Rhinolophus ferrumequinum: one gene and its partners. The protein of the gene in region 4 interacts with the protein of the main gene of each other region in a pairwise test. Links are inferred from orthologs where the notes say so. Each region holds a gene or a part of one and is shown on either strand. Other genes may lie near its edges.

Region 1 (8,059 bases), on a different chromosome or scaffold from region 4:
GTTATATAAAGTGGAATTCAATCTTTTACATTTGTGTTTGATAAATGTGCAAATAATTTTGAACTTACTTTTATGAGAGATCTGGCCATGTCCTAGAAGAAAGAAAGATAAAATGAGCAAATGCAATAGATTTGTTTTAAAGAGGCTACATTATGTCTTTTAAAGAGAAATATAAAATAAGTTGATTTTTAAAATATGGAACATTGCCCATTCTTGTACTATCCTGAGAAATATAACAGAGCCATAAATGTTCACCAAATTATCGATAATAAAGCAAAATATTTTAACAAACAACACAATATTTTTAAGTGCTTTCTATAGGTCACAGATTCAAATCCAGGAGTATGAGTCTCCTGAGGCCTGCTAACAACTAGGCCATACCTCCTCTGTTTTCCTATAAGAAACACATCTTCAAGGATGGCTACGAATTAGACACTCAGGAGAGAGAGGGAGAGATACCCAAATCCATCTTTTTATTAAACAAACTTAGTCAAGAATCTGTATTTCAGCCTATAAAAGACATTTTCACTTTCCTACATATGTATTCACAATAGTAAAATAAAGATTTATAGAAATGTTTACCATAAAGAGCCTTTAACAGGGCCACTTGTTTTTCAATTGAGGAATCTGACAAGAGACAATTGACATTAACTGTTCACAGGTCCCACTGATGGTACATGAATTCAAAGAAAGTGAATATTTCTATCACTAGACAAGGGGCAGCTAAGTCTCTTCTAACCCCAATCGTCTATAATCAGCTTCCACATGCACTTAGACTAATCAGACTACTACTCCCTGAGGCTCCTGCTTGGTCAGTTTGGACCTTTAGTCCAGGGAGCTAAGGTTGGTTCCTGTTCTTGGTGGTTTGGTTACAACACTGTGAGGCATATGAAACAGATGTCTCCCTCCCTCCGCGGGCATGTGCGTGTGACAGTGAGGTGAGGGCAAGCGCCGCCCCAGGGGTGGGTGGGGAGGGGGAATTTCACCCCTTTTAGGCTAGAAATCTCTAGTCAAAGAGCCAGAGAGAGTGAGTGCCCTGAGAATGAGTGGGCAGACCCGGCGGATTGCCGGGAGAGATAAAGAGAGGGATGGCTGCCCATCTCACCAGCATCCCGTTTGCCCATTAATCCGAAGAACTGCTGAGGCTTGGGTCTCCGGGCGATTCTCTGCAGAAGATGCTCAAAGGGCTCAGGCAGCTCCTCCTGGGGGACAGACGTGCGAACAAATGGGCGTGTAGGCAACCGGCACGAGGCTCCCGGAAACCTGAGTCATTACCGTGGTGCGCTCCAGCCCTGGGCGAACCTCGGCGGCCCGCACTGGGGTCCGGTGGGGCCAGGACAGGGAAGCTGGCTCCACAGGCAGGCGAGAGGAGGCTTGGCTTACCCACGCCCGGCCGAGGGGGGTCCAGGACAGGGCGCCCCCTGCCTCCACCCCTCCCAGCGGAACTCCTGTGCAGCTCACTGCCTCCCCTAAACCCTTGCGAGTTTGCAGGAGGCTCGGTGTCTTTGAGCCCTGTACACTTTCCACTCTTTCTTCCCAGCCCGGGTCCCCTCCGTCATCTGCAGCGCAGCCACCAGACTTTGTCTTGCTCTGGCGCCGGCTTTGGAGACGCCTCGCCACTCTAAATGCACACAGGTGTGGTGTGTCTGTCGGGGATGAGTGGGAAAGGGTGACAAAGCTTTACAAGTGACCCGCACAGAGCGACGTTCCAGCGAGGCGCGCTCCCTTGTACCAAGAACCTGCGAGCCATGTAAAGAAAAACTGGCAGCTACGTGTTCAGGTCCGTAAAGTAAACGCCACGGCAGCACGTTAGCTTCCCATCCACCTCCGTTCATTTAAGTCCCCAGCAGCTCGCCCCTCGTCCCCGCTTCTGCCTATGTCCGGGGTGCGTTCCTTTACCCCGGCTCAGCGTTTCCAAACGCCAGGTCCTTGCAGCTGGACTGGAGTTCCCCGAAATCCCTGTTACCTGGGGATGAAACCTTTTGAGGTTTCCAGCCTTGTGAGGACCCCGGGCTCATCAGGAAGGGCATCATTGCTTCAGTGAGTTCCGGAGACCCGACCCGCAGCCCTCGGGAAGAAACTTGGAAGGTGGGCACAAAATCTCGTGCGGGTCCCAGGGAGTAGCTTCCTTTACATCCCCCCCCCCCGTGTGCCCCCACTGCCTGTGGTCGCGGTCGTAGTGCCCACCAGGCTAACTAGGGGTGGGGGGAAGTGACAGGTCCCAAGCCCAGGAAAAAGGACATGGGCCAGCTTGGGACCAGGGCTCACCTTGATCTGGTCGCTGTCAGACCAGTCCGACCAATAATTAAGATCATCACTGGCTCCGATTTCTTCTGCACACAGTTGAGTGGACACAAGAAGAACGACTGCCAAAGCCACAAGGGTTTTCATGTTGGATTTCTGGTCAGAGTGGGGAGAAGAGATCGAGGAGAGAAAAATACATGCATCGGGGGTGGCTATCCAAGAGTTGGAGCAGCAAAATTGTCGGTCCCACAACAGAACTAAGGGCAATTGAACCAAGATAAAAAGTCTAAGGGCTGAAGTCCCGCCTGTATCCTTTAGGAAAGATAACCATGCCCCAAAGCTTCTCGAATCCCCTTCTCCCTAGATCCCAACTCCCCCTGCCCCCGACCCACCAATCCACACCTTCAAGCCAGGAGTCTCCGCAGATGGAAGACAAAGAGGCACAGAGGCATTTGGAATACCTGTCTCCCTGCTGCACCCCCACTGTTTCTCGCCCCAGCTGGCCCATGCAGCTTTGTCAGCCGCCACTTCGGAGCGACGCGCGGCGCGGCGCGCCCCCCGGCAGGGCTCGGGCACTTACTGCTGCGGCCGAGCCCGCTGGGTTGCTCTGGCTGGTCTGAGCGCACGCGGGGCGCTCCACACTGGGTCGCTGTGGCGATGGAGGAGGAGGTCGCAGCGCGCTTTCTGCCGGCCTAGTGAGGTGCTGCATTTATCTGAGACTCCACGAGCCTCTAGACCCACGTGACTCGCTCCCCACGAGATTTTTCTGCTCAATATTTAATTAGCCGCCTCCTTTCGCTTGCGTCTGATTGAGAGTTTCCGAGACGGTAACCGGTCGGTGCCCATAATATCTGGACCCAATTGGGTTCGAAATGACGCAATTTTAGGAAAATCGAGATCTCGCCATCCAATCCCCAGGGGCCAGTCTTCTTCCGTCTGCAGATCTGACGCCCCCTCCCCTCTCCTTCTTCCAAACGGTGTTCCTTGACACTTGAGATTACTCATCAAAATTGAGCAAAGTGACTCATTCCTCGGACTTCGGCAACTTTTCCGTCCCTTGAGACGTCAGGATAAGTTGCACTTCTAAGGATGGGCAAATAACTTCAGGTATTAAGATCTTGTCGTCGGAAATCGTGCTAAGAAAGTAGGAGCACTTCAAATGGGGGAGGAGGGGTGGAAGGCATTTTTTCCACCTTCTGTTTCCATCTGCAGACTGTCTTACGTGTTTCTGAGATACAGCCTCCTTCCATGGGCAGAACATCCTTCTCCCATATCAGCTGGAATACCCGAATATCTTCAGCATTACAAAAGGATTTTTAGTCACCAAAGTATTTCAGAGGATGGATGCAGGTTTTGGAGAAAGGGGAATTTAAACGTGATACTGCAGGTAGAACTTTTATTTCAGTGCCATTCTAGGATATCTTTTGTTCCAAAATAGCTAAGTCCTATTCCTTGCCACATCCAGAAGCAGGGGGAAAGAGGATATTCAGCTTCTTCTCTCCTACCCTTTCTTGCTGAAGATTAAGAAACCGGCAAGATGGTACCAGATACTTACCGGGTGTCGCTAAACGACTGTAAAGATCATTCATAGATTTCTCCTATATCTGAAAACAAGTGTAGTGAAGATGCTAATTGCGTGGTCATTAACAATACGAAACTATTAGCCTAATAATATCTGTACAGAAATCACAGCTTTCCATGAGCCCATGGTTTGCCTTGCAGACACATTTCTTTCATCTCTAAATGAATTAAATGATGTTTCTTGGTGGAGATGTTTTCTCCTCTTTACTCAGTAAGTACTATATTTTGCAGCTAACTCCGATGTATTTAGTGTAATGCATAAAATAAATAATTTTCGCAACCCATATAAACCAGTAATTTTTTCCTCTAATATATGTTCTTTCTTACATAACCCTGCATTTTGAAATTCCCATGTGTCTCTCATTTCTTTAGGCCTAGCCTCACAACCAGAGGCATTCTATTTTTTGTTTTTATAAGTTTTTATATGGAAAATTATTATATTAAATATACAAAAGTAGAGAGAATCATCCACTTGAAACAATTTGCAAATTTTATCTAGAAATCCTTCCTATTTCACTTCCACTCAGATTATTTTGAAGCAAATCTCAGACATTTCAACTGTACATATTTCAGCATGCCTGTATATTTATATAATGGTAGAGATTTTAAAAATAAAAACAGAACCATGCCATTATTCCACCTAAAACAACACAAAATAATTCGTTACAATATTATATATCCAGTCAATGTTCAAATATTCCTCTTGTTTCAGAAATCCCTACCCCATACAGTTTACTAGTTGAAATCATACCCTGCACTTGGTTCGTATATCTCTAAAATCTCCCAGAAGCCATAGTTTATGGATAAAAGTAATCAATAAAGTGTACTACATTCTGGAGTTTACTGCTTGCCTCCTAATGGTTTCTTTTAACTTGTTCCTCTGTCCTGTTTCCTGTTAATTGGTAGTTGTATCTAGAAGCTTGATCCCCTGTAGGTTTGGTTTTTCTGACAAAGCTGCTTTGCACGTGTTGTTAGGAAACACATGATAACTGGTTGTTTCTTCTTTTGAGATGTTAGCAGTCTTTAATGATCATTTTCTAGATCTATTAGTTCATTAGTACTTTCAAAATAGTGTTATTCTGATTTTATCATTCATTCTTTATTGGTTAGCTGGACTATTTCTTCCATATAAAGAGAAACATTTTCTCTCAACAACTATTTAATTACTCCAAGACATTATAAATATAAGAAAGACGGGATAAGTGCTTGATTACTTCCTTTGACCAATTTTAAAAATGAGTTGGTAAATTAAAACATTCAAGCATGGACGTTTTTTCCAAAACTTTTAGGATGATTATGACCTCATGGAATTAAACATGTGAAGTATTTCAATCCTTTAAAGAAGGATAGAAGCAGGCCTTCTTCTAACTGATGCTCAAGTTATCCAGTTTCTTGGACCGTGGGTGACATTTCACATTGGTTCCTGAGACTTCTGATGTGTCTTGAATAGGCTTTAATGGCTGTCTTGTTTTTTGGTGAGACAAGATATGCCAGGTTTAAGTTGTGTATTTTCTTTCTCAGACCTGCAATTTGCATTTAAGGCACTCTCATTTCCTTTGTAGAAATGATAATTAGAGATTATAATCTGGGCATTGTGGATGCATATTACTACTGAGTACTTCATTGTTTCAAGACCTTTTCAATGAATAGAACTGGAAATGTTTGTGTGTAAAATCATAACTGTATATTGACACTTCCTCTGCAAATCAGGATACCATAGTCTCTTTCCTTAACCTCTTCTGTTTTGCATCTATTCTATCCTGCCAAAAAAATTCCAGCTCCCAGTGACGTCAACATAATTACTCATTAGCTTTATCCCAATGCATAATGCCAACATGATCAACAATATGATTATTAGAAACAGATTAATAGTTTTTATTTGCATGTCTTTATCTTTAGGCTATATCACACTAGGTATGTTCAGTCCATTTACTATATTTTAAAGTCACTTTAAAAGTTCTTCTCTGTATAGTTATGCTACTAACTCTTAAACACATAGGTTCATTTGATCATTTTGATTTTGAGTTTTAGGGACTGCTTTTTAAATTGAACATTATGTAAAAATACATAGTTCCAAACTCAAATATTCAAAACATAATGCATTCAGAGAAGTGTAGCTTTAATTTCTGTCCCTCCAACCTCTTCCTTCTAGTAGCATTTCTTTTCAGTTTTTTAGTTTATCCTTCTATTATTATTGTTATTGTTATTGTTGTTATTTTTATTTTGACATAAGCAAATATATGTTCATATCCCTCTCCACACTCTAAAATTCCACACGTAAAGTGGGGTATTTTAGATTAATTTTTTTTTTGTTGTTTCTCAGTTGCTGATGTGGTTTATAAGGTAACAATAAAGATGGCTATTTCTTCCCTGTTAGCTCAATGTCACCAGGTGTATAATTCTAGTCAGGTGCCATACGTTGTAAATATGCCACAGTACACAAAACACAGGGTGTTTCATATACTTGAGTAATAAATAATAATGAGATAAAATTGGTTAAAGAATACTTTTCTCACTTTTTCCATGTCATTCGTTAATTGCTAACTTAGTGCTCCTAGTCTGATCATGCCTTTACTGACACGCTTTGTCCTTGAACATTGCGGGTTTGGAACATTTATATTCTTTATGGTTTTCTTTGGAATATTTATACTCTTTATTTGTATTTTATTTATTATTTGGGATATTTATACTCTTTATTTGTTTTATTTCCCAGAACATCAAATTTATGAAAAAATATATTAATAAAATACATATGCATGAGAAGTAAAATGGTGAAAAAGTAAATAGTTAATAAATCATTTTTTATGTTTGTAAATTAAAAAAACTGCAGAAAATTACAAAGAAAAAAATTAATATTATCCATTTTCTCATAAGCCAGAACAAACCACTGTTAACATCTTGATATACTGCTTATAATTTTTTAATGGGAAAATAGTCACCTGATTGTTTTTGTAAAATAAGATACAATCTTTATAGAAAAACAAAGCAATGCAGAAAAGTACAATAATGTATTTCTTTTTCATTATTGCAAATTCAGAAATTGCCATCCTTAGCATTAAGAGAACATCATTGTGAATATCTTTCCATGCATATTATATGGTTAGAAGAATAGAACAGTAGACAGATAAGTAAAAATTATGAAAACAGGATGAGACCATCAAAAATATTTTTAATGAAAGATATTTATATTTTGTTTGACTTTAGCAGTAGAAAAACAAAAAAAAAGTGAAAAATGTTTCTTCACGTGATATTTTTTCTTCAAAAGAACCCGTTAATGTTAAAAAACAAGACTTAGAAATAAACATTAAGAAGCTAGCATGTAACATTAAAAAATAGACATTTAGATAATATCTCTTTATTCCCTGTTTTGAAAGATGAGGACATCAGCACTCTTAAACTTTCTCCCATTTCCCCTTCTCCTATCTCCCCATTTTGATAGTTACATGATTATTTTAAAATTATTCAGGTTTATAATACTTAGATTTAGTTTTGCTACCATACTTTTATTAGTATTTGAAATGTCTACTATTCAGCCTGTATTTAAACAGTTTCACTGTTCACTACCAGTTTTTTGTTTGTTTGTTTGTTTGATTTTTAGTTTCAGGTGTACAAAACAATGTAATAGGTAGACACACTACTGAGCTTTGCCATTCTCAAGTTTATTTTTAATCGTCTCTTATTTGGCTGGAAGTCACTGTCAAGCAAATTTTTTTCCTCAGGAAGAAATGACACATATTGTGTTCCCTGAGTTCTCTCATGCTAGTGAATATCTGTCTGTGGCTTCTAAGCTCAAGGGACATCTAGATTAGTTGTAATACTTTAAAGTTAAATTTTATTTTTCACAGTACTTTATGGATATTTCTCCATTGTCCTGTGGAACTGAATGTTATGGAGAATTCTGAGGTGGGACAATTTTTCCCTAAGCTTGTATGTAACTTGCTTTTTTGCCTGACTATCTGAGGAATTCTTTCTTTATTCTTGACATTTAATAGTTTAATTAGGATATGTCTTGTTGTTAGTCATCCTAAATCTGATTTTATTGGAGTTTCATGAACTGTTTTTGTTTTGCAAATTATTCTCTTTCTTCATTTAGGAAAATTCTATTGTATTAGGTCTTTAAATATATCTTTGAAGTGGAAATTTCATTTAAAGAATGCTATGGTCTTTTTCTTTGGATCATAATATATTTTATATTATATATAAATATTGTAATATGTTGATATCTCATGTCTAT
Region 2 (7,682 bases), on a different chromosome or scaffold from region 4:
TGACTTGTTGTCAATTACTTACCTCTCCCCTTGGAGGAGGGTTGGGAAGGAAGGGGCCCACCCCTGTGTCACCACCACAGCCCCAGCAACAAGCGGAGACCAAGAAAGACAGACAGATGCTAAATTCACTGAGCACCTGCTCCATGCACTGGGCCCCAGGACACGCCCAGGAGATACTATTCCAAGGTACTATTCGGCCCCTCCTTGGTGACAGGACCTGGGGGTTTGACACAGGATGGGCACCAGCTTTTATCCAAGAGCTCCTTCACACCACAGACAAAAGGCCCACGGCCAGGGGCATACTGTGAAGTTGGGGAAACTGAGTTGGAGACAGCTGGCTGGCCCCATTGAATTACACTGAATCACAGGTCTAGTGATGTCGGCCTCTATGGCCCAGGCCCCTCGGGAGAGGCAGGGCTCCAGACGCAATGCAGACCCAGGGAGGGCGGACGGAGAACTGCGTCAGGAGTATTTGGCCTCAGACACAAACACAGATGGATCCTAGGGGTGCACTGGCTGCTCCCTCCGCCCCACACGGCCCTCCTCAGACGTCACTGGGCAGACACACCTGCCCAGACCCAGTAGGAAGCTGACCCCACCCCAAATGTTCCCCATATCCCACAGTCACATCCCATCTGTCCCCCAAAGCACCCTATGCACACTGCTAGATGTTGGGGTGCTAAGCCCTGCCAGGACCTGACGTCATCTCAGGCCCACTGTGCACCAGCCATGTGCCCGTCCCACACACACTTCAAGCCAGCCTGCTACTGACACCATCGACAGGGACGGAGATTCCGATGGAGACACCGTGTCACACACACACACACACACACACACACACACACACACACGACAGGCATGTGGGAACCTGCAGACGGAGCTTGACTTTTGGACAAACCTTGAGGATGTAGGGTACAGCAGATGCACATGAGGCCCACATCACGCTCCTGCCATCACACACACCCCCATGTCCCCAGAGCTCCGTTTCCTGGTAAGGATCAAGCCTGGGCCTGTACACCAGCCTTGAGGCCTCCACGCCAGCCAGCCTGTCTGGTCCCTGCTCCCACATGCCGCGCCCCGGCCACGCTGCCCACCTTTCCCTGTGCATTCCAGGAGTCAGGCGCTGGGCTCCTTTGTGCACACGCCCTCCCACTGGACCTCATGGAACCCATCTGACAGGCGGGGAGACTGAGGCCCAGGGAGGGTGAGCAGCTCGCCCAGAGCCACACAGCTGAGAAGTGGCCTCAGCCTGACCCTCCAGCCAAGCCAGCAGGTACAGAGAGGCATCTGTGAGTCCAAGGTCCTGAACAGGTGGTACAATGACAGCCAGTTCCTGTCACAGCAGCACCAGAAGCTGCATAAAAGCCGCGAGAGTGTCTCACAAAATGGGGCTAGTTTCCCACAAACAAGTCCCCACTTCCGGTTGAGTGCTGGCTGGACCCTCCACTGTCACTCAGTTAAGAGCCAACTTTCCCTCCCCCAGAACAGGTGTGGTGGCCCTTGCTCATAATCGTCATCCTGTGTGCTGAGCCTCCTTGAACCCCACTCCAAACCCACAAGCAGGCGCTCTCCCACCCACCCCAACAGCCCCTCCCCACTGTGATTTGCTCTTGCGACTTTAACCAACATTCTTGACTAAATGTTTGACAATCACGTGTTCAACGTTGGCTCCCTGACCAGCCTCTAAAATCTGAGGGCAAAGATCCTGGCTACCTTGTCACCACTGGATTCTGTGACTAGGAATGTCCTCATCAGACCAGTGACAGTCAGAAAAGGTCAGGGTCCTCCTGGTCCAAGGCCACATGACCAGGACCCAGGCCCTGTGCTGGCCCCAGGAAGGGAGGTCCAGAACCCCTAGCTGTGCAGACTGCCCAGCCCTGCCACAGCAGCCACAGCCCCCGGCTTCCGGATGGTTCTAGACAGGCTGCTTTGGAGCCTAAGACCTGGGACTCACACCACCTATGAAGTGCTGCATGCAACTAACTAATCCAGGCTGCTGGGCTGTCAGGCGACCAGCACCTTCCTGCCACGGTCCAGAAAAAAAGGCTCAGAGACGGGGTGTGCAGGAAGCCAAACAGGCAGAAGCAAGACTTCCGGGAGGCCGGAGTGGGGCAAGTCCCCGCTCCCCAAGTCTGTGCTCACACACCTGAGGTTTCATTTTATTTCTCCCTTCCCCTGGGGAGGGGGAAAGCCCCTTGCTACCCATTCTCTCCTTTCCAAACCCTACCTCTAGCTCCTCTTCTTCTCTGTGGCGGGGATCATGCTGACCGACTCCTTCTCCTGGCCCCTCCCAGGGAACCCCAGAGCTGGAAAGACAGGACTGAGTCTGGCTCTGAAATCAAAACAGGCTCTACCACCCACCAGCCAGGTGACTGTGGAGATAAAGGACAAGAAGCGCACCCTGTTGGTGCTCAATAAATCGTCACCTCCAGATCCCACACCTCCCTCTTCCTGCTCCGTGAGCTGGGTCAGTGCAGATGTCAGGACCGTGGCCAGCCTGAGTGGACGTGGGCCTGTTTTTCCACCTGTAACGTGGGAGAGGGTCGGACTAGACCATCGCTTTCCCTGTCAGCCTGGGGTAGGGGAACATTGGTCCCATCCTAGACCAACTGACTCAAAAACCCTAGGAAGAGGGGCCTGGAAAACTTGAACAAGCAGCCCCCTTCCGCACATGGCGCCACCAGGCCATCTTGGAAGATACTGGCCTAAGTAAGCAGGAGAGAACACCGAGCCGCAGGCTAGGCTCAAGCCCCAGGGAAACGCAAGAACGCAGGCTCGGGGCAGCTGTTGGACCTGGGCAGGGCCGCAGCCGCCTCGTCCCCACGACCGAGGGCAGACGGGGGCTTCCACCGGGAGGCCCGCAGCGACGCCGACCACGCGCTCCGGGAACAGCCCCCGGACACTGCTCCTCCGGCGTCCCGCTTCCTCCTGGACTGGCGTGCCGGAGCAGGTCACGCGGCTTCTGCGGGCCTCAGTTTCCCCATCGGTGACCCAGGGGCCTCACGGGGCGGAAGGCCGCGGATCCGGGGTCACCGGCCCCGTTGCGCCACCGGGGACAGGCCCCGCCTCGGGGCCCTCCGCTGAGCCCCGGGCCAACGCCACCGGGCCTCAGTTTCCCCGTCTGTGCCAGCTCGCCTCAGGCCGAAGGAGAGGGCCCACCGACCGCCGCCCCGACGCGGGGCTCACCGGCAGGCGCGGCACGATCTCAACCGAGCAGCAGTGGCAGAAGTACCGTCCGGGCTGCGGCGATGCCTCGGCCATGGCCACCGCCACCTCCTCCGCGCCGCCCGCCCCCCGCGCGGCGCCCGCCGCTGGCCGTTTGCTGCTCCCTCGCCGGCCGACGCGCTCGCGCACGCTCACGCACGGCACGCACGGCACGCATGGCGTGGGGCGGAGCGGGGTGCGCGGGAGCAGGACGAGCAGCGCGCACGGCCAGCGGAGGGCCGACGACGGTGGCCGCCGAGGGGCAAACTAGAAGCGGGAGTCTTTTGAGCTGAGCGCCGGGCAGGGATTGGGGGGCAAGCCTAGAGGCGGCTTCGGAGACCGCGAAGCCGGGCCTGAGCCTAACGAGGTCCAGCCAAACCCACAAAAGCCCTCACTATCCTCATTATTTCTCCTACCTCAAGTCCCACTATCTCCCTTCACTGTCCTCATTGATCCTGGGACGCGACTAGCGCGCTCTCACCTCCCGACCTTTTGCACTGGCTGTGCCCCTGTCTGGTGCTCCGTTCCCCGACACCCGCTTGGCGTTCCTCACGTCTTTCAAATCTCACCTACTGAGACGCCCTTCTCAATAGCACCTATTACCACCTGATGAAATGTAGGGTCAACTCCACAGCAGATGGGATGTTTGTATTTCGTTCTCGGCTGAACTCAATAACAGTGTCTCCTCCCAGGCAGTCCATAAACACTCGGTGAATGAATGTGGACAGGATCGATGGAAATTCCAGCCCAGTCATGCATTTATTTATTTACCCACTCAACAAACATTCATTGAGCAACTGCTGCATGCCAGACCTTGTGCTGGGTGCAAGGACACAGCAGGGAAACAATGAAAATGGTGCTCTGAAATACTCCATGGCTGCAGGAGGCAGAGATGGATGCAGACACCCCCCTCCCTGATGTTCAGCGAAAGGATGGGACTCTAGGATGGCCCTGGTTTTGCCTGGGGAGACAGACAGGGCTTCCTAGGGGAGAGGGTATTAGATGCCAGGTTTGGAAGAATTAATAGGAGTTGGTTGGAGAAGGAGGCATCGGAGCCAGGGCGTTGAGGAATTAAACATGGGAGCCTGTGTATTACGGGTCTTGAATGTCAAAAGCCTAGGGACAGGGATCTGCCCAGCCACGGTCTTTTTCCCTTCAAAGCTCACAGGTAATTCCAAGCCATTCCTGTTCTGACCACCAGAGTGCGCGCCGGCTCCATCCCTGGGAATCCAGGAAATCCCCAGGTCCACCAAGGGCCGGTCCTTTGCTTCAGGCCTCTCTTGCCCTGGCTCACTTCACACCACCGACATTCATGCATTCATTCTGCAGAAGTTTATGAGGTACCACCCTAGAGGCCTTGGAACCAGAAGACTCGTGTTCAAATCCCACAAGCCACACTGGCTGTGTGACCTCTGGCCAAGTTGCTTAACCTCTCTGAGCAGGTGGCAGAAACTGTCTCCCAGGGTTTTAGGATTAGATGAGACTTGAGGCACACATGGGTACCCACGGCATCTCCTCGGTCCTCGGTTGGCTCTGCTGCCTGCCCTAAGGTCATCTGTCCCTCACCCAGCTTCATTGGCCCCATGGGGTGGGTCAAACTGGATCCCACCTCAGGGCCTTTGCCTGACCATGCCCTCTGTTGGGAGTGCCCCTCCCACTGTCCCTTCTCTTTCCCTGCTTCTCAAAAGGTTGCCTGACCCCTTCCCTGGAGGAGCTGTATCCCCCACTACACCCCACTGCTTAGCACCCTGATTTCTTCACCCACAGCCATCCTATGATCCAGGAGTTATCAATGATGTCTCCCAATAAGTGAGACCAACAGCCAGCATATAGTAGGTGTTCAATAGTCTCGAATAACTGAACATTTAGTGAGTGCTTGCTGTGCACAGGCCCAGGCAAGGCTCTGGGAATGCAGTGGGAATGAGAACACACAATTTTTCTGTTTCAAAATGACAAGCTCAGGAGGTACCAGGCCTGAAGTTTAATCCTCACACAAGCACCATGTGGTGGGACAATTACGACCCCATTTTACAGACAGAGACTGAGGCTCATACTTGGTCACATGGGTAGCCCAGCGGCCCTGAGTTTCCACAGCCTCCAGCATCCAATTGTGACCTGTGACCACCTTGTTGCTGCCACTGATGGGACAGACTTAAGAGGCTCTTTGACTGCTGGGCATCGTGAGACACAGGTTTCAATGTTTCCCAGAAACTTTCCTTGGAAAGGCTTTGGAAGTGGAGGTTGAGTGGGGCCTGGCCTCTACAGACCCCCAGAACAAAGGCCATATCTCTCCCTTAAGACTACCCAGGGCAGGGCCATGCCTCCCCCCTCAGACCCAGGGCAGGGCTGTGCCTCCCCCCTCAGATCCTGGGCAGGTCCATGACTCTTCCCTCAGACTCAGGCCAAAGCTGTGTCTTCTCCCTCGGACCCAGAACAGAAGCAAAGCTATGTGCCTCCTCATAACGTCAAGCCAGGGCCATGCCTCCCCAAACCCCACGACATGGTTGTGCCTTCCCCTTTAGACACTGCAGGACAAGGTCAGAGAGCTCTCTGAGCTGCAGTCTTCCATCTGCAAAATGGGTCTCTCGGGGTACCCAGAGAACTCCCAGGGAGGCTGCTCCGTAACTGGCAACTGTGATTGTAGATCCCAGCTCTCCCCACCTTTGCACCTTTGCACTGGCCTTCTCCTCTGCCTGGAGCATGCTCGCGCCAGAAGGGAAGTTACCAGCTACAACCAAGGGGCCAGTCCACATTGTCCAGTCCAGAGAGGGAATGGCCCTGCCCTTCAGCTCCGCATACAGTTCCTGGAATCTTGCCTACCTGGTCTGACTCCAGTCCCAGTGCTGTGGGACTTCATGACTCCCAGAAACTCACTTCTTTTCCTCCAGCCTCAGCTGCCCCTCTGTAAAAGGGCTTCCTGCGTCACAGTACTGTGGTGAGTGGCAAAGAACACTCACCATGCAACTGCCCTGGCCAAACACCCATCAGTTGACTCATAAGAATCCATGCACACATGTCATGCCCTCACTGTGCGCCAGGCACTGTCCCTGCTGTCTTGGCTGGAATCTGCAGTACTGGGATCCGTGCCCATTTCACAGATGAGAAAATAGAGGCACACAGAGGGCACACGTGGCCTGGCCAAGGTGGCAAAGCCTGGACTGGGCTTCCACAAACACCTCCTTCTCCCTTCAGGCCTCAGGGTCACCTCTTTGGAGACCCATGAACTTCATACTCCCAGGTTCGCCGTATTGCCATCTGCCTTCACAACTTGTGTTCACTCCCTGGTTTGTTTCTAGCCTGGCAGGGACTGGATCGCTGTGGTGACACACCAAATCCAATGGACAATTCCTGCTTGTACTAGTGGCCTATGGCTGCTGTAACAAATCACCACCAGCTTGGTGGTGTAAAACAACTAAATGTTTCTCTTACAGTTTTGGAGGTCAGGGATCCAACACAGGTTTCACCAAGTGAAAGTCCAAGTGTCGGCAGAACAGCATTCCTTCCCAAAGGCTCCAGAGGAGAAGCTGTTCCCAGCCTTTTCCAGCTCCTAGAGGCCGCCCACATTCCTTGGCCCAAGGTCCCTTCCTCCATCGTCACAGCCAGCGATGATGGGTCACGTCCTTTTCGTGTAGCATCTCTCTAACTACAGAGAGAGATGTCTCCGCTGTTAAGGATCCTGTGATGACACTGGGCCACCTGGTAATCCAGTATAATCTTCCCATCGGAAGGGCTTTAACTCAATCCCAGATGCAAAGATTTCATTGAAGGTGACATAGTCACAGAGCCTAGGGATTAGGACCAGTCATCTCAGGAGACCACCTTTGAGCTGGGCTTTCTCTTACTTGTGGAACAAACATCCCATTACTGTACTGCTGTTCCTACCCGCAACCCCCTACCCCTTTCTCCCCACCATTCAGTCCAACTGCCAAGTCTCAATTTAAATGTCTTGTTCCTCTGAGAAGTCTTCCTCAATTACCCCCAGGCTGGGTCAGATATAGCCTTGGGGCATTCTCCATCACAGCTCTGATCACACTGGATTGTCACTGCCTGTTTGCCTGTGGGCTCTGGGACAGAGAGAAGCCTGGGTTGGTGAGCAGGGGCCACAGGAAGTCATGGTGGGTGTTTGAGCTGGGGAGGAGCCTATGGCAGCTGGGGTAGGTAATGGGATGCAGGGTGTGAGGCAGAGGCTGGGTCAGGGTGGAGAGAAGGGCACGAACGGGAGAGAGACACTGAAAAGGGGAGAAGGGGGATCCCAGTGAGGTTCCAGTGACTTCCTTGAGGTCACCCAGCACACAGCCTCTGCATTGGGAGGACACACCAGGCTAGGGAGCAGGCGGCCGCTGGCAGCTGGCCTCCGTTTGGAACCCGCACCAGGCCAACAATAACCTTTTGATACACACAGCCCAGGCCGGGTGTCCAAGCCACAGCAGGGTCAGGTCTCGGCCAAGGTCGCACTGTCTAGCCCCCGCACACCCTTG
Region 3 (8,453 bases), on a different chromosome or scaffold from region 4:
GTCCAGTTCTCTTTCCATAACCATCTTGGAATAAAGAAGCACCTTCAATTTAGCCTTTGCATAGTAAGCAGCATTATTAGATGCCAAGGAAAACAGAGCATTATCAGAAGCTCAGTAAACTGGAGAAGGTAAGTTCTGAACAGATGTTTTAGCAATGGGGGAAAGGCGGGGAACTGATACTGAGAATACCAGTGGGGTGGGACACCAGGAGTTGTGTGCCCATCTGTAGAATAAGTCAGCTGTTAATGTAAAACAGATTGCTAGCAGAAAAAAGTAAAATATAGACTGATTCAACAGAGTGTATCTTTTGACAATCAGTGGGTATTGAAGGCAGAGCTAGGACTAACATAAGTCAGAGACACCTTGCGCATAAAATTTAAAAAGATGCTATCAAACTCAGTAATCAAGATAAATAATATTTTATTGCAACATATATACCGGGGGTGCCAAAAATATGTATACAAGTGTACATTTTGGTCAACGTTGCTTCAAGCAGTAGTTCACGGTAATCAAAAGTGTCTGGACGCTGATGGTAACCACTTTGAGCACCTCTTGTAATTGCAGAAGTCAAACATGACCTGTATTCATCTTTTGTTATTGGTATATGTTGAGTATTACAATTTTAATACAGTTTTCCTTTCTTAAAATGTGTATATATTGTTTTGGCACCTTCTGCACTTTAAAAATCAGTATTAACGTAAATCCATGATGAACAAAATACGAAAACTTTAAATAAAGGCAAGATCATTATTACTGATTATTCTTTTTTTCTTGGGTTCCAATATGGCTCTGCCAGACACTACCTTCTTCTGATCTGTCACACCCTTCATTCTACCCTTAGTGCTAGTTTGCTCTTCTTTCTGCAGACCTCCCCCCTCCATCCTGTTGCACATTCACTCTGTTCCCTCCCTTAACTCTGTGTTTCCTTTTTCTTTATTCCTTAGTGTCCCCCTCTTTTTTTTTCCAGAGTTTCTTTTTCATATCTTCTCCATTGTTGGCTAGTCTTTCTTTTCTTTTTGCAGTTATCTTTTATCTGTATCTCCCTTAAGGGAGCATAATAGAAAGCAAGTTTGGTAAATTTTGTTATATGTGCCAAAATGTTAATGTGAAATTATCCATATGTACTCTTCTAAGGAAAATATAGAAATTTTCTTTATTGCTCATGTGATCTATAACCCTCAGTGAATTATTTTTGGAATAGTTCTGGGCAAGTTACTTAATCTTTCTTTGCCTCAGTGTCCGCATCTGTACAGCAGGCTTATGTCTACTTTACAGAGTAATTATGAATATTAAATGAAATCATGTACATAAAGCACATAAAACAGTGACTGTGACACTATATATACTTGAAAGTGACATCATTATCATTATGATTATTATTTCATTCACAACCTAGAGTTATTAAGACACGTGTTTCTATATAAGATGAAATCCATTTAAAGTAATTTAGATTTCAGAGGCTCTAATTTTACTAATTTATCATGGATTCAACTTTACATATCTTCATAAATGTTCTATTACTTTCCAAAGCAGTATCATGGGACTGAAATGTTTCTGGGACTGTATAGTGGGATTTGTTGAAATTATTATAGACAGTGAAGACTAAATCTGGAACACAGTAGCTTCATTTTCCATTATTCACATAGGGAAACCCTTGCAATGAATTTCATTATCACCAACTTTTTTTCTCTATAAAATTGACTTTATTTAAAGTAACACAAGTAAAACCTTGTAAAGAAGAAAAACAAATTCCTACATATAACTAATCTGTACTAAGGCAAACATATTGAAATTAGTCATAGTGAATAAATTCCCAAATCAAAAACCTGGATGTTTCCTCTGATGTTCAGGATGGATTATCTAACAGAGATGTAAAAGTTAGAAATTAAAATTATTATGGAAATTGAGAACACAGAAGAGTCAGGAAAATAGGCAACCACCCCTTCAAATGGAATGCCAGCACTAAAGCTTCTATACAGTATTTCAGATGAACCTTTGGGATACTCCAAAACAACAACCACTCACACTCAAAAAGGCCTCTGAAGGGCTGTATAAATGCTTTTTATCTCCAAAAATTTTCTTTAAAAACTATTAACCAAATAAGCTTTTAAAATATATACATCAATGCTTTTTCTTGATCTGATTTAAGTGAAAAAGTTAAATTTTACTTAGAAAATTAATTTTAAAAAGCTAACAAAACAGAGATGCACACTAAGATTTCTGGGTGAGGGTACTCACCAAAACATTTTAATAAAAAAAGTATTGGAAGCAAACTAATAAAGAAGGATTAAGTAAGTGATGGTATTTCCATAAGAGATAGTAAAATACAACAATTAAAAATTATATTCTGAAGTAGTTGCATGATATGAGAAAATAATCACAACATAGTAAGTGATAGTGGAAGAATATCTGTGTATATACATATGTAGGTACATACAGAGGGTGCCAAAAAAAAATGTATACATATTTTAAGAAAGGAAAACTGTATTGCAACTATAATACTCAATGTATACCAAAAGATGAATACAATACCAATGCATAACAAAAGATGAATACAAGTCACGTTTGACTTCTGCAATTACAAGAGATGCTCAAAGTGGTTACCATCAGCGTCCAGACACTTCTGATTACAGCAAACTACTGCTTGAGCAACGTTGACCAAAGTGTCCACTTGTATACACATTTTTTGGCACCCCTGGTATACGTATAAAAACACACGTACAACATAACCTCAATTAATTACAACGGGCTAAATTAGAGTAGAAGAAAATATACAGATATACACAATTTTACATCTGTATAGAATTAATTTCTTAAACTATTTTGGCAACATTTTCATTATGAAATGATTATAAATGAATAAATATCATTTACATTTACAATTCCTCATTTTATTATAATTTTAATCTTTCTATAATATTTTTAATTTATTAAAGTTCTATGACCCTGAACTTCTCTCTAATATTTAAAAAATAAATTTGACTAGATCTTATCCAATATAAATAATCATATGTTAAAATCTCACCAGTTGAGGTGTCCTGAAATTTTAAAGTTTGTCTTATCTGCTGTTGTGCTTTTCCTTTTGCTCCCAGTTGTACCATTCCAAGAACCAAAGTTGTTCCAAGGGGGGAAAATATAATGTTGTTCTTATGAGATGAACAAATAGCTTGATAAAGATCCACTGCAAATTCAGTATGTCTTTGAGCCAAGGATCTTGAGGCTTGACTTCCAGAAAAAGTCAATAGGAGACTCCACAACAAGATCTTATCCATTTTGACCTCTGTGCATCAATTCAAAATACATTAGTTTTCAAAACTAATAAATATATTAGTTTTACCATATAAAAAACTAAACAGAAAACTTTCTACTTATTAGAATTTTCTGTCTTGTTAGGACAAATTACCACAAGAAGATTCTAATGCCAGTTTTCAGACTAAGCATCATCTATTAGAGAAATAGGCTATAGGCTAATGGTCTTTTTTTATATTCCTTCAAGAACCAGTCCAAAATATATAGCGATTTTTTAAAATCAAAGGATAAATTATAATTCTGGAGCATAATAATTAGTAATAATATACCTAAATAGCTATATGATCTTTTTCTTATCTTTTCCTGTGGTTTTAAATGGGATAACTGTAACTTTGATATCAAGAGAACCCTCTGTCCAGACTACTCCAGAATGGTTAATAAATCAAAAAAGAGAAATGGAATAAAAAATGAACACACTCCTTTGTGATTTGGGACCTATAATGTTACGGAGTTAATGTATTCTAAATTGATTAAGTAATCTGGCTTTTTACAATAGGAATTCTCACACTTTATGAAATGTGTAGGGCAAAATACCCCAAAACCCACATGTACCTTTCCAAAGAGAGAAAAGAAACAAAATTACAACTAAATATAAATGGTACAGCTATAACAAAAGAAGGGAGCATTAAAAAAAATCAAAGAATAATTTGACAAACAACAAATATAAGAAAACTTCAATTGAAAACTATAACCGATTCACAACAACAGTAATGAGACCCTATTAAAATACTCTCCACTAAAACTGCAGGAAATTCAACCCAAATTACATCTTGAACAGAATGAATTTTGCAATTTTACCAAAGACTTTTGGAATAGTACACTCTGAAGGACTCATACGTTTTAGCAACACTAATTTTACCTTATAGATAATACACTTTAGTAACCCTTAACAACCCATAGTTTAGTAAGTTACTAGGAAGTAAACTTTCATTGGAGGTAAAGATGAAAGCCTTCAAAATAATGTATTGTGAGCCTTAAAGAAATGAAGAACTATCTTTCTAGAGTGTTTTGCACACCATTAGGAAGGTCACCATGACCCATGAATGGGTTATGAGTCACTAAAATCACTCTTACATATAAAGATTACTAATAGTCAAACATTCTCCAAAACTAAGCTGTGGAGTCATTATCTAGATATTTCAAATTGTTTTCTAATATATGTAGTTAAATCTATTTGTCTAGATATACAAGTTGCAAAGGAAAATGTAATCCAAATTTAATCCAAGGCAATTGTTAGAAAATAGTGTTTTGATAAACTACAAATATAAATATATATATATATGCTATCAAGCAAATGCTTTACCGAGGATTAAATTAGAATATAAGATTGTAAATAGCAGCACAACAATAGTAAAAGCTAATGAATAAGAGAAGTTATACATGCAAAATAAATTTCTGTGTATCATTTTCTAATATATTATATATCTCAGAAAATTTCTGCCCAAATGTTGGTTTGTAGATATATAGTCAAAATGTTATCAGTACTTTTAAGTCATCAAGTGGCATTCCATTATGTACATCTTTATGTATTTAGTCTGTATTAGAAAAATAATATTACATAATAATATTACATAAAATACATAATTTTTACTTATAGTAAAACCTGGAAGTTTTCCTCTCATTATTATTAACAACATTAACACTTAAAAAGTACATTATTTGAGCATCCGTTTATTCTAGAACATTTCTAGACACTTAATAAATTACAAGTGCATACAAAAATTGGTTTTAAAAATTCACTTACCTCATTGGCTTTGGATTGTATCTCATCAGAAATCACAAAGTACTGATGAACTAAACAACCTGACGAATAGTTCTATAAGAATTTGATATTTAAATGTGTGACATCTTTTAAGGAGAATAAAGAGGAATATGCTAATCTGATAAATTTAAACACTATCTACCAAAGTTTATTGGAATGTATTCCTATTCTATTAAATACTCAGAGTCAATATTATAGCATATATACTATATTCATAATCTATTTAATTTTAAGGTACTTACCCCAAATTTGCTTCTGGGTATTCACGGTAATGTTATAACTAAAATATCCCTTCTGGGAAACACTAGAACATGGAATACCTGATCGGTCAAGGCCAACTCTGTTTATCTTGAACACTGCTTGATTAATTCCTCTAAAACCAAAGCAGGTGTTCACCACATTTGTATAAGAGGACTCACATGATCAGGTTAATTACCAGTGATGAAATATCGAAGAATCGAGAGAGAAAACAATAATAGAATTTTAAAAGATCATTAGGTTTGTATTATTATCTCATCCATTATTTCACTTCTTTTATTAGTAGAAACTGAATTTGAAAGAATATGCCTGTGCTTCTAAATTTGCTAGTAATTAGTTCTTTTTGTTTCTCACAGGACTCCCATATCAGATTACCAATATATTCCATCATAATATTTCAGAATGCCTATGAGAAAAAGAATAAAGCTAAATCAAGTCCAGAATGCAGAGACAAATTACTGCTGCAGAATTCTCAACAATTCATCAAATTACACAATAGTCAAAGGAATTTCCTGTGGATATAAGGTCCATTTGAATCCTTTGGGAAAAAACTGGATATTGAAGAAATATAATACTTATGTTGTTGAATAAAAAGACCAGATTAAAATTATTGATTTACCAAATTATACCAAGATAATACTATTCAACATAAGGAATTTGATAATAAACATAGGTTTTACTTTTACATGATTTTTAAATTTTACATGATTTCGTCTACAGACAGTTCATTAATAAAAAATACATCATTGCATCATTGAATGGGTTTTGATGTTATTGTTCTAGTTCAAATCAATCACGTCAGTGGCAATCAGCTATTAAACACATTGGATTATTTGTTAGTGGCCTCTGATAAGAGAAATGAAAATTTAGTTCCAGACTCAGAGATACAGAAATAAACTGATGGTTTCCAGAGCAAAGGAACATTGGAGAACTGGGTGAAAAAAGGGAAGGAATTAAGAAATACAAATTTGTAGTTACAAAATAGTCACAGGGATGTAAAATACAGCATAGAGAATATCGTCAATAATATTGCAACAACTATGTATAGTGCCAAGAGGTACTAGACTAATCGGGGGGAATCACTGCACAAATTACATAAATGTCTAACCATTATGCTGTACACCTGAAACTAATATAACGTGATATTGAAAGTCAACTGTAACTGAAAAAACAAAATAATAATTTAAGCTTTAAAAAACATGTTCCAATTACAATTAAGCAAGTATTCACTATTGATTACTAAATGTAATATTGTTTCTGATAAATTCATTAAAAATAAATAAAATGAATATAGATACCTTTAAAAGGAATTATTTTTGAAATACTTTTTCAAGGACTCTGTTAACAATTTTCAGTCCTAATAGGGCTATAGCTTTATAAGAGGCCTGAGTAGCCTGATGACTGTTATTGGCCATAATCTCCTAATTTACCACGATTCTTTTTTTTTTAGTTAAAGTTTATTGGTGTGACAATGGTTAGTAAAGTTACATTGGTTTCAGGTGTACAATTCTGTAATACATCATCTATATATCACATTGTGGGATATATATCACATTCACCATCCAGAATAAATCAGACAGAAAAAGTTGAGAACGATATGATTTCACTGATATGTGGGATGGAAAACTGAAAACAACAAAGGAAAACCACAAACAAATAAAGAAACCAAAACTCGTAGACGAACATTTTTAATTAACCATCTAGGTATCTCTCTTTTATTTTTCTAAATTCTGGGTTATATCCTACCACTACTTAATCTAACATAAACAATCTCATTGCCAGCTTTCCACTTAACAGTGTTAGAGATAATTTTCCGGAACACAGTTATGCAACGCAAGAACCCTATCATTCTTTTTGTTCTACTCTGCAATTACAAATAATAAGTCTGAATGTCCAAGACTGTCGTTCAATCAATGCTCTCTTACCCACGTAGTGACACCAGCAAACATCCATCACAAGTACACTTGGCTACCAAATTATTATGTCTGTACATTACTTGGATCATAATGCGATTTCCCCAGGAATAGGCCATTACTTTTCCTCCCAGTGACAGAGACAGACACTCTGTCTTAGTAAGATCATTTAATGAAGTTGTTCTGTAAGGACCTTATGGTAGAGCAGTTCATGAAGAATACATTTTCCTGTCTCTTGGGAAGTAAAAAGCAATGGCCATGAATTTCTCCTCCCTGATTTAAGCTACTTTAATACCTTTTTAATAAAGATAACCTAAGTGTCCATAAAATGTTACTGCAAACCTTTTAAATATTTTCAAAAATCTGTTTCTTCTACAACTCTTATGTCGCCCCTAACACATCAGGAAAAACAATTATTCATTAGTGACAGCCAATGTGTTTTGGTATAAATTTGAGCACCATCACTGTCACCCCTACTGTAAAAAAATAAACCTGGGACGATGTATAAAAATACTAGCAAGGGGTGACAGGTTTAATCTCATCTTTCTTCACATTTAATAGGTTTTTTTTTAACTAAAAATATATTTAATTTCAAACTTAAAAAAACATATAATCAAATGCTCTCATTAATAAATAAAGAACTTAAAAGTTAATTCTTCCATGGATTAATTTCAGACAGTTTTATCCTTTATCAGTTTGTTCCACATATTTTGGGTGATAAGAGGAAAATGTTCCGAAAAGAGAACAGGTTAAATTATGTTTAGTGTAAATCTTCATACTACAAAGTAGCTTATTAAAAATGATGGCACATCCTATTTTAATATGACAAGTTCTTTTCACTGTGGAAAACTGGATCTTAAATAATTAAACCTAAATGTTAATTTCAGAAATAGCTCATAAAGTCTTCAGTTATATTAACATTTGGTAGGTGAGACCCTGCTACCTATCCAGCACAATTAGATGCTATAAGGTATAAAACTAAAACAATAACTAAATATCTTTTTTTCTTTTTATGTATGCATTTTATTCCTAGTATTAGAAACAATAACATTAAAAGAGACTTTCATAACTTTAAAAATTCTATTCTCATTAAATATACTTGTGCAATAGCTCCTCTTAATTCCTTTCACAGAAGTGACACTGAAGTTAACTGAGGATAGGATTCGGGTCACACACAGCATAGTACCTTGTACACATAGTAGGCTATAGAT
Region 4 (7,378 bases):
GAGATTCCCAGTGGATGTGGCCAGTCATGCCTCACCCCCAGGCTGAGAGAAAAGGGGGAGGGAGCATGGGGAGACAGAGTGACAGCAGACCCTAGCCAGCCTTGACACTTACCTCCATCCTGGAAAGTAAGGTCTGTATATCCCTGATCATGTGCTGAGCCATCACCAGCCGAACCCGGGGCTCACTCTACAATGAGAGGGAAGATCAGGGCAGGTTTGAAATGAAGCCACGAGATCCACAGCCTACTGAACCAGGTCCCAGCATCTCCTCAACCAGGTCCGACCCACCTCACGGCCTCCTTCTCCCAGATCCCCTTCGCTGACCCTCCCAGGCCCCATGATACCTGAATCGGGGCCTGTTCCATGTTGATGTGAACATCCACAGCAGAGCCGTCACTCTGGGGAAAGGGTAAGGGAAGTTGCTCTGGGAGAAGCCAAATACTGAGGCCCCCACACTTTCAACTCATTCTCTGGAGCCCCACCCTTTTTCCCCTCAAGACTGCGGCTATTAGCAGACCGCAGGGCCCTCCAACCCCAATCTAAAGACTGCGACACCTGTCTTAAGAGCCCTCTGCTGTTACCACAACCAAAACTACCCTTCCCCACAAAAACCATCCCATGTGGAACACAAGCTTACAGGAAGATTGAAGGTTCCAACCATGACATAGCTGTTGGCATTCCGGTCATGAACAGAGGTCGCAGGCCCCCGAGGACCAGATGAGGGTCCCCCACCATGGGTGGCTGAGGCAGACCCTGTCCCAGAAGATGCCCCAGAAGGGATCTGAGTCTGAGGAGGAGCACGTTCCACCAGGTGGATAACCTTTCCCCCAACGTCTGGGGAGAAAAAGTGAAACAAAACAAAACAAACACGAAAACATTGTATGATCAGGTAAACCCTCCATCTCAGCTCATCCCTCTGGGCAATTACCTCAACCTCTCAAATGCCTCCCCCACCCCCTTACTGTATTCCTGGAGCTTCTTATCATCCTGCAGAACTCGTCCCTGGTAGATGAGCCGTTGTTTCTCTGAGGGGATGCTGACAGAGGCAGCAATGTGCTCCTTAAACTCCTTTACATTCATCTGCGAAGAAGGGACACACACAAGTATGAGGGAATGAAGGAAAGAGGAAGGACAGAAGAGGGACAAATGACTTCTGGGGGTGAAGCGTAAAAACCATCCCATTATAAAATCACTAGCCACTTGTCTTGACTGTGAGGTAAGGATGGCGCAAAGCCCCAAACTCAGACAACTCCTGTCAAAAACAGACAATGAACATAAGGAAATTCAGTTTCTAGGCCTAGGAGAAAAGTACATGGCTGAGAAACAGAAAAGCCAACTGACATTCCCTTCACTCCTTTGCCTGGCTCCCAAAGAAATGTGTGTCTAAAGATACCAGTGATCCCTCCCCAAACACAAAATGATACAACTCTAATCCCAAAGATAATAGTAACAACACGGAAAATCGGGTGGACAATCAGGTTAAGGAAGAAAAAGAGAGAAGGCAGCAAAAAAGAAAAACATTTTTCCTAATTAGGCAACTGACTCTTGGGAAGTATCAGGCTGCTTACGTACATATAATCACAAAAACCTACATGGTTTTCTGAAATACACGTAACACTGTGTTTTAAAAACCACAGACCAACCTCTCACAAGTCTGTCTCCAAATATTACAAGAGTAGTAATATGGATACTTGTATCCATGTTGTTGAGCTCCAAAGATTCAAATTATACCACAAACATTAGTTATTCCCCTCAACAGTCTACTAAGGATCTACCTGCATTACCAGTTCTCATTTCTCGCTTTTAAAAACACACTATAGAGACCTGACCAATTTTTGTTTTTAAGACACACTTGTCTTTGGGGTCTCTGTGTTCTGTTTCCATTCCCAAAGGCAGGAGCCATGTCTGTGCCTTTGAGCTGCAGTTCACTCAAGATGATGGCATACAGATTCCTCCTCCCTCCATTATTTCCCTCTGCAATGAGTTCTATCAAGGTGGAGGAAGGCAAAACAAAATCTACCTCATTCAACAGAAACCATACCTTCTCACTCAACAAGAAACATCAGAAAATGTTCTGTCTAGAATATGAACAAAGGAATCAACGAAAGAAAAGTTGAGGACCAGAAAATCAGGTTTTTCTCTCAGGCTAAGAGACCTACAAGAGAAAGGGTAAATGACTGTCTTCCAGAAGTACTGGGGTCTCACCTGGGCCCCCACAATAAAGGTCCGAGTCTGAGAATCCAGGGTCTTCACCAGCACCTCCAGGCTGTCAGGCGCCTCCATAGTGGTACTGGTACTGTTACTGTTACTGGGCTCCATGGCCTACAGCTCTCTAAGGAAGAATGGAGAGAGGCCCGCTGTAGCCCAGAGCAGATTTTATATACCCAGAAGCCTCTCCGGCCTGAGTCTCCGCCCCAATACCTAAAGAGTTTCTCCCACACAAGCACACACACTCACACCCGCCCCCATCCCCCTTCTGATTCCGGGGCACAGGGAAAAACACAATGGGCAAGACACGGACCGCACAGGGAGCTAAGGGGACGGGGAGGTGGGAGGGGCTCCACGATGCCAATCACAATAAGGGAGGGCAAGTCGGGCTAGGAAGCAGGGAGGGAAGGAAGCGCGAGACCAGTGTCATCACCGGTCGCGAAACAAGGACCCCAGAAGACGGCAAACCCTGGGACAACGCGAGAGCGGGGAGGAGTGGGGTGGAGGGAATGTCGCGCTAGACTCTGCGGAGAAAGTGGTTTCGCGCACGCGCGCCACGCCCATTAAACCCGCCTAAGTCACGACAGACCCGAGATGACGAACACTCACGGGGGGCCAGACTGGCTAGATGACTGCCCCCCTCTTCCGCCTTCCTTCGGTTCTCCAGCAGAGCGTCGCAACCAACACACACCAAATACACACACACCACCCTGCGGCTCCGCCTCCGACTTCCCCCCGGTACCGTCACTTCCGGTCTCCTCCAACCTGCCACGGACGGCCACTTCCGTTTCCCCGACAGTATTTGGAAATCGCGAGGCGGAACTTCCGGCTCCCCCAGGTCCCAAGCTTTACTTTCCTGGGGCACGACAAGAAAGTCCGCGGCCCCAAACAGTGAGTTCCTGGGGCGAGACGGGCAGGGCCGGCCAAGATGGGAGGGAGCCGAGCACCCCGAGAAGCCGCCGCCGCCGTCGCCCGAGGGGCCGTATTGCGCCTGCGTGCATCGCAGTACGCATGCGTACACAGTTAGGCACCGCCCCATCGTCTGATGCTGTTAATTTCTTCTGGGCGCGCGCTTGTGCAGTGGGAGATTGAGGTGGCTACTACAAATGCCTGGAAAAAAAAAAATCACCAGATGAGACTACGACTGTCTCAAGACGCTTTGGTCGGTTGTATGGATCTTGGAGTTTGGCGACTGAGGATTGTGTCTCGTTAACCTATGTTAGTCCGCAGAGACTTTGAGACGGCACTGTCCTGGCCACCTAAAATTCCATCTCTCTCACTCTCGCTACGCCACTCCTATGGCGCCTCCCGAAGTCACCCTTTCCTTAGGCGGTTAGGGGTGGTTCGCGAGCTGTGTTGAATGCGGACGAGTCGTTGGGCCTGACCTCGGGTCGGCCTGGTGGGCGTTTTGCGGAGTGTGGGCGCCATGTTCCTCACCGGCAGTGCGCGGCCGAGGGAATACGCCATGTTTTGGAGAAACTAAGGATTTACCTTGCATGACTTTTGTAAAAAGAAAAAAGTGTCGGGGGGGTACCTCTGAGTTTGGGAGCTGGGAGCAAATGAAGTTCGACTGGACCAAAACACAAAACTGACCCTGGGGAATTGAAGGGACCGCCAAAGTGCTTCCGTAGGCTAAGGTCCAGAGAGTTACTACCTCTCTGCCCTTTTCTCCCACCCCCGCCCTCGGGCTAGTGTCTGGGCCCCTCTGCGCAGCCACAACCCCAGCCTTACCCGTCGCTGCGGCGTGCCGGCCCCTGGCGCCCAGCCTTTCTGGGATTCGTTGTTTATCTATACCCATGTCCCAGTACTGTTTCAGGTAAGAGTTCTGATAAACACCTGTTTAATGAGCACTTAGTTTGTGCCAGCCAGTTTTCTAAGGGTTTTATGTAGTGTCACATTTAAAAGCCTTTGAACGCTTGAGATAGTTACTACATCCATTTTATATAGTGCGTACACCTAGCCAACGTAAGTGGCAAAACTGACAAATCCAGGCCTACTAGACCCTTCTGGGTCAGGCACCTCTACTGCCCCAATAAATTGGTTTTTATTATTTAAAATGTCAAATATTGCTTAAAAATAATAGTATAATGCACCCTCATATACCCTAAGCCTGCCTCACCTCGCAGGACAAATCTTTTGTCAGTCTTGAGTTACAAATCGATTGAGGAAGCGCCACCTTTTCATTGCATTAACTCCACCCAACTCAACTGGCATTATCCAATGACTGCCTCTTGACAATTCTTTCCTTACCTCCTATTTGAGAATTTATTACCCACCGGAAGCTATAAGTGCTTTACAAACATTACTATTAATTTTACCAAATAATTACTTTGGACTTGCCATGTGCAGGCCTTTGCTAAGGGCTTTTATGCATTGTCTCTTTTAAGCCTATGAGATTGATGATTTACTCATTTACAGGTGAAAAAACAGGCATAAGAGATTAATAAAATTGTCCAAGTTCTAGTAACTGGTAGAGTTAGGGTTTGAGCCCATTCTGCCTGACACCAATGTCTATCATCTTTAACTACTAGGTTATGGAGCCTCTTGTAGTAATAAACTCAGTGAACTCATCTGTCAGTGAACTTTTCTGGATGGTGTACATGTTGTTTCCCCAATTATAAACTTCAGAGAGAAAGCCTCCCATCAACCATGCCCCAGCACCTGATTCATATCTGTTCTAAAGCACTTACCAGGTTGTATTGCAATGATTTGTTTACACAGCTAGTTTTCCTTAGACTGACTTCTTCAAGGCCAGGGACTGTGTCTTACTCATTTTTACGTCCCCAAGGCTTAGCGAGTTCCTGGCAAACAGCTGGAACTCAAAAGAGTTTGCTACCGTAAGTGAATGAATCAATCAATCCACCTCTCTTCAGTGCTGCACAACACAGCAGACATCCAGCTCAGATATGGGTTGAAAGAACACAGGTTTCTACCTTCAGGACTCAGCTTCCTTATAATTCCCCAAAGACCCTGAACATGCCAGGGGGTATTGTGGAGTGGTTGCATCTAGGACAGGGGGAGGAAGGGCCGAACCACTCCATACTTGGAAAACAAGGTTGAAGTTACTCATTAGCAGGTAAAAGGGTCAAGGGTTGAGGCAAGGGGGCTGGAAGCAGAGTGGACTGAGCAGCCAGCGGAGAACAGTTAAAGCACCAGCCACTGCACGCAGAGCACCAGCTCCCTATTGCTTGAAGATGTTCCACCAAATTTGGGCAGCTCTACTTTACCTCTACGGCATTCTCCTTAACTCCATCTACCAGTGCCCTGAGCACAGTCAACTGACAACTCAGGGAGTAGATGGGAAAGAGGTATGGAGAAAAGGGGGACGCTTATAGCGGGGGCTATGAGGGACTTGAGTGGGTGGCCTAGGGTGACCGGAAGCCACATTGGGAAAGGAAAGGAGGAAGACAGTGTGAGTGTTGTGATGATGAAAGCAAGGACAAGTAAAAAAATATCAGTACTATGCCCATCAATGTAGACACATGGTAGAATTGGCAGGAAGCAGGGGGTGGGGGCGTAGTTACTCAGGTTGATTGAGGGCAAAGAGGAAAAGTCATTTAATGACTCCCTATCATGGATCCAAGCCCCAGTTGGAAAAAGGCAGCCAACACCTCTGCCCCTAAGTCTTGCTGTCCTGACAGAGGTTAGATGAATCCTGTAGTGGGACCCACCCTCCTCTGCTCCCCTTGTCTCTCCAGTTCCCAGAGCCCCACCTGGGCCAGTGGTACTTCATCGCAGGGGCAGCTCCCACCAAGGAGGAGTTGGCGACTTTTGACCCTGTGGACAACATTGTCTTCAACATGGCTGTGGGCTCTGAACCCACACAGCTCCAGCTCCATGCTACCATCCGCACGTGAGTGGTGAGGGGGCAGGGACCAAGAGGTACAGCCTCTGCCCAAAGTGTGAGCACCCACCCACAAAAAGCTGCGCTGTTTGGCATATTCACTCTTTTTAGCCCACTGAGTTCAACAGCTCTATTAGTTTTCCTCTGCGGAGAGATGGGCCTAACCATCCCTTGGTAGCTTGAAACCCAAGGGGACCCGGGCTTCAAGAAGGAATAAGAGGGAATAAAGGTTGGTACTGTGTGGTGGGGATGTCACTCAGTCTTTCCTCCTTGCAGGAAAAATGGGTCCTGTGTGCCCCGGGAATGGATCTACCACCTTACTGAAGGGAGCACAGATCTCAGAACTGAAGGTTGGTTCTCTGTAGCTCCCCAAGTCTCCTGGGCTTGCCTGGTTTTGCATCTCTGTCCTCTCACTTCCCCCCAACCCACCCTGACAGGCCGCCCAGACATGAAGACCAAGCTCTTCTCCAGCTCTTGCCCAGGTGGAATCATGCTGAAAGAGACGGGCCAGGGTTATCAGCGCTTCCTCCTCTACAGTGAGTAGGGAGGCAGGATGGGTTGGTGGGAAACACAGGAGGGGCAGAAGAGTCCCTCACTCTGGGCCCTGTGACATCATCCCAGGAAGGGCTGGATGCTTCCAGGAGGTGCTCACCAGGGGCGGTGCTGAAAAGTAGAGGGTTTGATGGGGCCTGGCCTTTCTGCCCTTCCAGATCGCTTGCCACACCCTCCCGAGAAGTGTGTGGAGGAATTCCGGTCCCTGACCTCCTGCCTGGACTCCAAGGCCTTCTTACTGACTCCCAGGAAACAAGGTGAGAGTGTAAAGTCCCACAGAAGAGGACTGGGACTCACCAAGTCTTCTGTGGGTGCTGGATGAAAGGGACAAGTGATGTCATCAGAGGGCAGGGCCCAAAGCTGACATCATCAGAGTGGCACCAGGTGTGTTGACACATCCATTTGTGTCATAGGTTGTGATGGCACCAGAGGGAGCCAGGGTGGGCTTTGGGCTACTCATAAGAGAGGTTTCTGAGTTGGCAGTGGATAAAGGGGGCAGAGGAGCAGACGCAGAGGAAAACAGGTCACCGAGACCCCTTCTTTGACACAGGGAATGAGGGAATGCATTCTTCCCCAGCCATTACCAGCAACCTTGCTTCTGTCCCTGGATTTACTTCCTTTCCATCCTCTTCTTTTCTCCCTCCTCCCACCAGAGGCCTGCAAGTTGTCCAAAGACTGACCTGTGGCTTCATCTATGCCCCCAAATGGATTCAGTGGGAGCTAAGATTGTGGTGGGGGAGAGAAGCTGGAGACTCCCTTTCAAGAGTAATAAAG

Evidence for each region.
Region 1: the proteins of BAG6 (region 4) and TAC1 interact in a two-hybrid assay, tested with the Homo sapiens proteins (2 studies listed by BioGRID and IntAct). The link is inferred for Rhinolophus ferrumequinum from reciprocal best matches to the Homo sapiens genes BAG6 and TAC1.
Region 2: the proteins of BAG6 (region 4) and RNF126 interact in binary tests that used the Homo sapiens proteins (3 or more experiments, as listed by UniProt). The link is inferred for Rhinolophus ferrumequinum from reciprocal best matches to the Homo sapiens genes BAG6 and RNF126.
Region 3: the proteins of BAG6 (region 4) and SERPINI2 interact in a two-hybrid assay, tested with the Homo sapiens proteins (2 studies listed by BioGRID and IntAct). The two-hybrid records come from large-scale screens. The link is inferred for Rhinolophus ferrumequinum from reciprocal best matches to the Homo sapiens genes BAG6 and SERPINI2.

Annotation. Positions count from the first base shown.
Region 1 is NC_046303.1:29,689,677-29,697,735, forward strand, and holds the start of TAC1 (protachykinin-1), read right to left. Parts: upstream 3,051-8,059; 5' UTR 2,954-3,050; coding exon 2,825-2,953; intron 2,796-2,824; exon of another isoform or gene 2,647-2,795; intron 2,401-2,646; coding exon 2,269-2,400; intron 1,203-2,268; coding exon 1,106-1,202; intron 628-1,105; coding exon 583-627; intron 93-582; coding exon 69-92; intron 1-68. UniProt on the Homo sapiens protein: Tachykinins are active peptides which excite neurons, evoke behavioral responses, are potent vasodilators and secretagogues, and contract (directly or indirectly) many smooth muscles.
Region 2 is NC_046301.1:62,166,692-62,174,373, reverse strand, and holds the start of RNF126 (E3 ubiquitin-protein ligase RNF126), read right to left. Parts: upstream 3,369-7,682; 5' UTR 3,262-3,368; coding exon 3,187-3,261; intron 1-3,186. UniProt on the Homo sapiens protein: E3 ubiquitin-protein ligase that mediates ubiquitination oF target proteins. Depending on the associated E2 ligase, mediates 'Lys-27'-, 'Lys-29'-, 'Lys-48'- and/or 'Lys-63'-linked polyubiquitination of substrates.
Region 3 is NC_046285.1:74,328,562-74,337,014, reverse strand, and holds the start of SERPINI2 (serpin I2), read right to left. Parts: upstream 3,324-8,453; 5' UTR 3,273-3,323; coding exon 3,026-3,272; intron 1-3,025.
Region 4 is NC_046286.1:2,146,717-2,154,094, forward strand, and holds the start of BAG6 (large proline-rich protein BAG6), read right to left. Parts: upstream 3,113-7,378; 5' UTR 2,974-3,112; exon of another isoform or gene 2,798-2,973; intron 2,333-2,797; 5' UTR 2,320-2,332; coding exon 2,206-2,319; intron 1,081-2,205; coding exon 963-1,080; intron 835-962; coding exon 638-834; intron 399-637; coding exon 345-398; intron 188-344; coding exon 113-187; intron 1-112. Other genes in the region: APOM (apolipoprotein M), read left to right, coding at 3,254-3,370, 5,907-6,061, 6,329-6,402, 6,490-6,588, 6,763-6,861, 7,258-7,283. UniProt on the Homo sapiens protein: ATP-independent molecular chaperone preventing the aggregation of misfolded and hydrophobic patches-containing proteins.